Sus scrofa: one gene and its partner. The protein of the gene in region 2 purifies or fractionates together with the protein of the main gene of each other region. This does not show direct contact. Links are inferred from orthologs where the notes say so. Each region holds a gene or a part of one and is shown on either strand. Other genes may lie near its edges.

The links.
Region 1: the proteins of NEK1 (region 2) and C13H21orf2 purify together in Homo sapiens (affinity purification with mass spectrometry; 3 studies listed by BioGRID and IntAct, with this or other methods). This does not show direct contact. The link is inferred for Sus scrofa from reciprocal best matches to the Homo sapiens genes NEK1 and CFAP410.

Annotation. Positions count from the first base shown.
Region 1 is NC_010455.5:207,202,415-207,206,161, forward strand, and holds the start of C13H21orf2 (protein C21orf2), read right to left. Parts: upstream 2,328-3,747; 5' UTR 2,225-2,327; coding exon 2,148-2,224; intron 798-2,147; coding exon 779-797; intron 1-778. UniProt on the Homo sapiens protein: Plays a role in cilia formation and/or maintenance. Plays a role in the regulation of cell morphology and cytoskeletal organization. Involved in DNA damage repair.
Region 2 is NC_010456.5:20,143,224-20,146,970, reverse strand, and holds the start of NEK1 (serine/threonine-protein kinase Nek1), read right to left. Parts: upstream 2,341-3,747; 5' UTR 2,248-2,340; exon of another isoform or gene 1,898-2,247; 5' UTR 1,780-1,897; intron 1-1,779. UniProt on the Homo sapiens protein: Phosphorylates serines and threonines, but also appears to possess tyrosine kinase activity. Involved in DNA damage checkpoint control and for proper DNA damage repair.

The DNA of each region.
Region 1 (3,747 bases), on a different chromosome or scaffold from region 2:
AAGCCCCAAGTCTCTGTGCACCTGCCAGACCCCAGGCCCCGGGGCAGATGGGGCCCTGGGACCAACAAACTCCTTGTCTGGTCAGATTGCTTCATGTTCGCAAGATTTGTTTGGGTTGGTTTGTTTTTGCTGCTAAGTGCAGCATTTCAGCTAGAGAGGGAGGCAGAATCAGCTTTTCTGGGCAGCCCAGCAGCTCAGCATTTCTAGCTTTGTTTTTCAGGAACGGTACCGCTCAAGTCCCCAAACAGAAGTCAACGAGGACCCATGGGTTGGCATGCAGACGGCAGGGTGGGGACAGTGATCCCAGGAGTGGGGGTGGGGAGAAATCTATTCACAGACCCTCGGCTCAGCTCAGCAGGTGCTCTGCCGCCCCCAGGCCCCAGCTCTTCCTGCCAAGGGGGTGGGTGGGACGGTGAGGCTGGATCTGACTGGGGCAGAGCTGAAGTGAGGAAGCTCCTGGGGACAGGAAGTCCTGGAACCTGTAACAGCTGTACTCCTCCCAGCTGAGGGAGCAGTAAACCGAGGTCTCATCCGGGGCCTGCTCCCTCCTCTGTGAGGCGGTCCGCTCACCCGCAGGAGAATGCTGGAACTCCACAATAAGCCCCGGTGCCACAGACCTTTTTAGAACTGTTTTTTTCATGAGTGGTTCTGCTTTACAAAAACCGCTGAACCCACAAAGTACCAGACCGGGGCCTGGACTGAGTGGGTGCAGTTCTGTCAACTGAACAGTCCTCTCGGGGGCCGGGGACCACCTGGAGATGGTGTGCGTGATACGTACATCCGTGAGACGGCTGCCCCTGGGGAAAGAAAAGACAGACACACTCTCACTTTGTTCAGGTTGCAGACAAATTCCAAAAACTAATGATAAACGGTAAGAGTCTGGGATTTCAATGACAAAGTAAAAGAAGGCTTTCTCGGATAACTGACAAAGGCGCCAAAAGCGAGTCCTGGTTGACTGTGGACAAAATGATTTGATCCTGAAGGGCTCCTTCTCGGATGAAGAAACGGCGGAGGCCACCCCATCTGAAGGACACGAAGACTTACTGGTTCTCAAGGCAGCTGCCCCGAGGGAGATAAACAAGGGCCTCTTTGTAAGAGGCCACTTCTGGGCCCAAACACGCGACTCGTGAACGCACTCAGCCTGAAATAGGGCCGTTGTTCCTCGCAGCTTCTGGAAGGATGACCTCGCCAAGCCCGACAACGCCACGCATTATTGAAAACAAACCACAGGGATGTTGTGGCCAAAACGCCAGATGTGCAGGGCAGAGAGAAAGGCTGTTTAATGAACAGGCAGAGCTCCGCAGTCAATGTGCTGCATTGGCTGGAGGGCGGCTGCCTCTGGCCGAGTGCCCAGCCGCACCTGAACTGTCCAGGGTACAGACTTGGGAGACGTGCTCGGAATCCCCAGCGAACACGTGTAGACCTTTCAGGAGTTTCAGAAGCACTTCGGGTCCTGCCTTGGCTCTGCGAGGGCTGGCTGCCTTGCCTTTGAGCCGACACCGACCCCACAGCACCTGTATCTCTCCTGTCTCGTGGGGACCGCCCCTCCCCCCAGGGCTCAATCACAAAAATGTTTGCTGAAGCTTCTCTCTGGGGTCCCAGTTTCCTTTCTTTCCCCTGGAAAAGGTGTTAATTCCCATGATCTCCCACCTCATCAGGCCTGGCTCCCAGGGGCTGCTGCCCATGTCAGAAATGAGACCTGTCCATGGAGGGAACTGTCGGCCCCACTGCAGCTCTCTACAGCCCAACAGCTTCTCCCAGGTAACTCCCTCCAATTGTTTCCAGCAAGGAGTGCAGGTTTGGAGCTTTGCATGAGACACCACCACTCACTCAGGAGGGGTGAACGTTCTGGAATGATCTTTGCCAAAGGCCGCCTGGGCCAATGGCAGCAACTCCCACATCCTGTGAGCCCCCAGGACCCAGCAACGGCCAGGAAGGTGAGGCCGGAGGTACCCCCGTCCCTGAAATCCTCGGCATCCTTCCCAGGCCCTTCTCGGCTGTGCCCCGGAGCAGAGATGCGGGGCGGGGGTCCTCGCTCCAGGGCGGAGGTGCTGGGCTGGGGTCTCTGTTTTCCGATAGCTCTGCCCTAGGGCTGGGTTCCCGGGGAGAGGGTGCCGGACAGGGGGGAGGACGGCCTCCGGCCTCACCAGCAGTTGAGCTTCCGCACGTTGTGCAGCTCCGAGGCCTTGGCCCGGGACAGGACCATCTTCCGCGTCAGCTTCATGGCGGCGGCCGCAGGACCCCAGACCCCGGCAGAGCTCTCGAACCGCTCGCTAACCCGAGGTGGTCGGCCCCGCCGCGGCGCGTTTCCAGGGGGCGGGGCCTATGTCGCCAGGGGCGGGTCCAGAGAGCCCATTGGCCGCCGGCGAGGGGGCGGGTCAGCGCGAGCGCAGTGGGCCGCCCGGGCTTCCTCTTCGCGCTTTGGCTCCGCCCCCCGCCCGCTCCGCCCTGCCCCGGCGGCGCGCCGCCGGTCTTGCGCCTGCGCAGAGTGGGAGGCCAGGCTCTGACGTCATCCTTCCGCGCCGGGGTTGGGGACCCACCGCCCTCGCCGAGCGTCAAGGGGGTGGGCTCTTAACTGCCCCGGGTTACAAAGAGTTAAAGAGTTGAAAGGACTTGTCCTGACCCCTTCGTCTCGGCACTTACGGAAGGAGGCAGGTGCCGAAGATACCGGCCAGCCCGAAGGGAGCCCTCACGGCACTTGAATGCTTTAGAAGTCAAGTTCTTTGGGCTGCCTGCAGAGGGCGCTAGGACAGGGATCCAGGATCTCAGACTGCTGGGGGGACGAGACCGAGACCGGCCTCCTCTGGGACCTCGTCCCCACGGCCCCGGTCCCGGCTTCGGCCCGCCCAGCCCGGTCTCAGCAAAGATCCTGCTGGTCACCCCAGCCCATCTCCGATCACCCCGGACACCTGATGCGTTCTTCGTCCCCCCTCTCCCGCGGAATCTAGTCCGTGACTCAGTCCCCTACCCGTCACGTCTCTCAGGAGCTTTCCACCCACTGGCCTCTCATGCGCCTTGGCCATAAATCCCCCGTCTTTGTTGAATTGGAGTTGAGCGCTCTCTTTCTCCTCTCACTGCAATAATTTTGAATAACGCTTTTACCAACTGGTCAGAATCATCGTTTTCTTTCACAGAGGTCAGCGATGGCTTTCTCAGAGTCACCTCCGAAGCCCAGGGCTGTGGAGGATCTCCCTGTTGGAGGGACCTCTGTGGTGAGGAGGGGTCATGATTCAGTGGGGACAGTGGGATTTTGCTGCAGGATCTCCCATCCCATCCAACACCGCCATTGTCCTTAGGAAGACCACAGGGAATTCTAAAAAGAGAAGCATTCGCACCGTAGTTTAACAACTGCTGCATTTTCTTTTTTTTCATTTTAGAAACCGTTGACGTTCCATCCACCCATTTTTATTTTAAGAGTTTGTGGAAGAACTCAAGACCCCTCAGTGGCTGTTCCTACCCACTTGGTGGCCTGAGCAGTGGGAGCTGCAGCCCAGTCTTCAGTGGCAGGCTAAGCATTCAGAATCTAGTATAGGGAACGGCCGGATGGGCACGGAGGCACCCACCTGCCACCACAGGTGAGTAGCGGTGACCTGGGGCTGCAGCGGCCCATTCACCCTGAAATGCCTCCTTGGTCGCAGGCTTCTCAGCTGCTCTTGCTCCTCCTCTCCCGTCTCTTCAGGATCTCTCTAGAAGCAGAGGTCAGGCGTGGCCTCCCGTGGGCGTGCACGGGAGATGGTGCCACGCAGG
Region 2 (3,747 bases):
ACATTTGAATATATTTATATTTACACTTACTTATACACGTGTGCATGTATATATAAAATACTTGCATTTACATACACAAAATGCAATCTTTTGTGTAAGTAACATCTGAAAGGATACACAACAAACTGGTAATACTGACTGACTTCAGCGAAGAGAACTGAGTAGTTGAAAGGCCTTTCTATCTTTTTCTACCTTCTAAATTTCAAACCATCTGATTGTATTAACTATTCAAAACCATAACTAAAATTTAAATTTAAAAGCAATAATAAACGCTGACAGAAAGAAATAGGAAGAATGCTGCCTAAATCAATTTCTCGGGTTAAAATTCTTCAACAGTTTCTCCATTTCCAAACTTCAAACGCTGACATTCAAAATCTTTCTGTGTGGCATCACTCTTTTCAAGTATGTCAACTGAGCTCCAAAAAATATTATAGCCTGTAGTCAAGTTAGACATCTTTCCTCATATTTTACTAAGAATGTCTTTAAGCCACAACTACATTTGACATGGCAAAATTCTGTGCACCAAATGTGAAAAATGTCAGAGTATATGAATGAAAAACTGTATCCCCACCAATGTAGAACATTAAGCCTTTTCAGCTCTTTCAGTTATTTGACAGACAAGCAAAATGTCCTGAAGGGAAACAATGGTAAAGGAATGTCAACAGATTTCCAGAAGCCCATGTGGTACAGTCTGCAACTGCAATCCACACATATAGCTCTCCTAAAACAATAAATGCCATTTTGGACTGTGGGAGAGGGACAAAATATCTCCTCAATGAGGGAAGTCCCTGCCTTATTTCTCATAATTCAAAAAAGCAGAAAGCAGAAATGGAATTCCTATTACACTTTTTTCAAAATACGTTTTTTCTTCTCTTTAGGTCTATTCCTCTCTCTAAGACAATTCAGATAACAATTAACAACTTTCCTAGTGGAAAATACCAACATGTAAAGTTTATATTCATGAAATGGTGTCATGTCCATGACTTAGGTTAGAGGTAGGACACTAGACAGAGTAAAATTAACTTTGAATACAACGCTAATTTATTATTAAAATGACCTCAAAACAACTCCTGTGGCCAACTTCTGTAACCTTTAGTAAACGCCTAAAGGTGACTCAATGTGCAAAAACCTGTTATCCCACAAAATAGGCTCCTTACCTTTCAATATTAAAACAGATCTGTGGATCCTCTAATGTCAGACAAATCTACAGCAGAAACAAAGAACTAATTCTCTCCTTATCTGGCATCCCTCCATGGTGTCTACAATACTGCTGCATCATAAGAAAAGGCCATTACCAGCATATACTGGATATTACCTTCAACCCTTCATATGATTATTTCTGATGTAATTTACCATGGCAATAAAAACTCTTCCGCTTCTTGGGGACAGACCTTATATTAGAAAATAAAAATTAGGCCTGTATAAAAAAAAGTTACGATGAACTCTAACAGAACTTTTAATTCTCTACATACAGAAATTTTAAGCATGTAGAAATTATACATGAAGAAATTCTAAGAAATATAAATGACTTACCGGTAACAACACTTCTATTATTTTAAATCCATTATCACTGCAAGTTTTTAAATAATGTCAAAGAGTTGCTTAGTAACGCACACTGTTCCCTGGAGAATTAACACTGAAGAGATGCGGTTACTATTTCCCGTGCACTTCAGGTGAGGATCCCTGCAACCTCCACATCAGAAAGTCTAGACAAGGGCTCCCCGTTTCCAAAATGACTGCACTGTTCTGCACGTCGCCGCTTCCCTGAGAGCCACTCACCTTGGACCCAGGTCGTGGGCAGCAACGGCCGTGAGGGTCGATAGGCGCCGACCGTGTCGCCGTATTCCCGCGGGGTCAGCGAGGCAGAAGCACTCTCCCGCGGTCCAAAAAGGACATCCTGAAAAAGAACCGAGTTCGTGACCGCAGCGCCCGGCCCCGTCAGGAAGTGGCGGTGGGATCCTGCCGGTCCCCCACTGCAGCCCGCGCCGCCCGGGCCAACGCCCCGGGACACCGGTCCGCGCCACCGGGAGGCACAAACTGGCTTCCCAGCCCCTGGCAACGGCGGCGGGGGGAGTGCCCCGGGCGCCGCCCCCCAACTTCTCAGACGCGGCTGCCGGCGGCCTCACGAAGCAGACTCATTGGGTTTGGGGGCTATCTGCCGGCTTTTCCCCCGCGCCGCGCCACGCGGGCGCTGGACACCGGGCGACGCAAAGAAGAGCTGGGCAGTTCAAGCTCAGGACTCCATACCCGGCGCCCCAAAATCTGTAGCCAGTGCAGAGGGCGGGGCGTCCCCGGCGCGGCCGTGTGACGTCAGCGCGCGGGAGCCGACGCGGAGCGGGGGTGGCCGGGAAGGATGGGCGAGTCGTGGGTGGGGCGGGGCGGGGCGGGGCGGGGCGGGGCGGGGCGGGGTCTGGGTAGGACTGGGCCTGGGCGGGGCGGGGAGGGGCACTGCAGGTGCTTGAGGAGCGGAGTGGAGAGGTTCAGCCGGTTGGCTCCCTCGCGAGAGTGCAGCACAGAGGAGGGCCAGAACCTGCTAGAAAGTGGTATGGAGTAAAGCATATGATAAACTCGTGCATACACGTACTACAAAGAGAAAGGGACTTTTTTAACTTGGATGTTTTTTAGGATGCCACGTTTTGAAAACTAGTTTTGCTTTAAAAAGCAAGTTTTAGAGTTCCCATGTGGCTCAGCAGAGACAAACCCGGCTAGTATCTATAAGGAGGCGGGTACAATCCCTGGCCCCACCCAGTGGGTTAAGGATCCTTTGTGGAGAGCTGTGGTGTAGGCTGTAGTAGTCGCTCAGATCTGGTTGCTGTGGTTTAGGCCAGTAGCTGTAGCTCCAGTTCAACCCTTAGCCTGGAAATTTACGTTTGCTGAACCTGTGGCCCTTAAAAAAAAAGGCAAGCCTGAAGTGAAATAAGTCAGAAACAAGTACTGTATGTTATCACTTCCATGTGGAATCGAAAAAAAATAATACAAACTAATGAATACAACAAAAAGGAAACAGACTCATGGATGTAGAGAACAAATTAGTGGTCACCAGGGGGAGGGCTATGAGAAAGGTATGGGTATAGACACAATTGCTATATAAAATAAATAAGATACTATTGTACAGCACAGAGGAATATAGCTATTATTTTGTCATAACTATAAATGAAGTATAACATAAAAATTTTGAATCACTATGTTGTACATCTGAAACATATAATATTGTACATCAATTATACCTCAATGAAAAAAATAAATAGAATGTTTTTTAAAGCAAGCGTAGCAGTTCTCTTGTGGTTCAGTGGGTTAATGTTCCAGTGTTGTCACTGCAGCAGCTTGGGTCACTGCTATCACTCTGGTTTGATCCATGACCAGGGAATTTCCCCATGGCATGGGTGCAGCCATAAAAAATGAAATTAAAAATAAAATAAAAGCAAGCCTATTCTTAGTCTGTCTTGGATGGTTGAAGCAAGAAACTATTTTTAGGTCTCAAAAAAATTAAGTACAATGTGATTTAAAAAGAAAAAATTTTAAAAAAACTAATAAATATAATTTTCTACACTATCATATCTAATAGGTTCTGCCCGTGTATTGAAAGATTTAGTAGTCTAACTACCTTTCTTCATTGCAAGACTTTCAAAGATAGAGACAGTCTTTTCTGTAATAACGGATCATGCGCAGTGTCACCCTGGGTAGCCCTTTGGCTAAACTGCCTTCCCTAGAGTAATCCCAAGATACTGGAGAATCCAAACCTGAAGC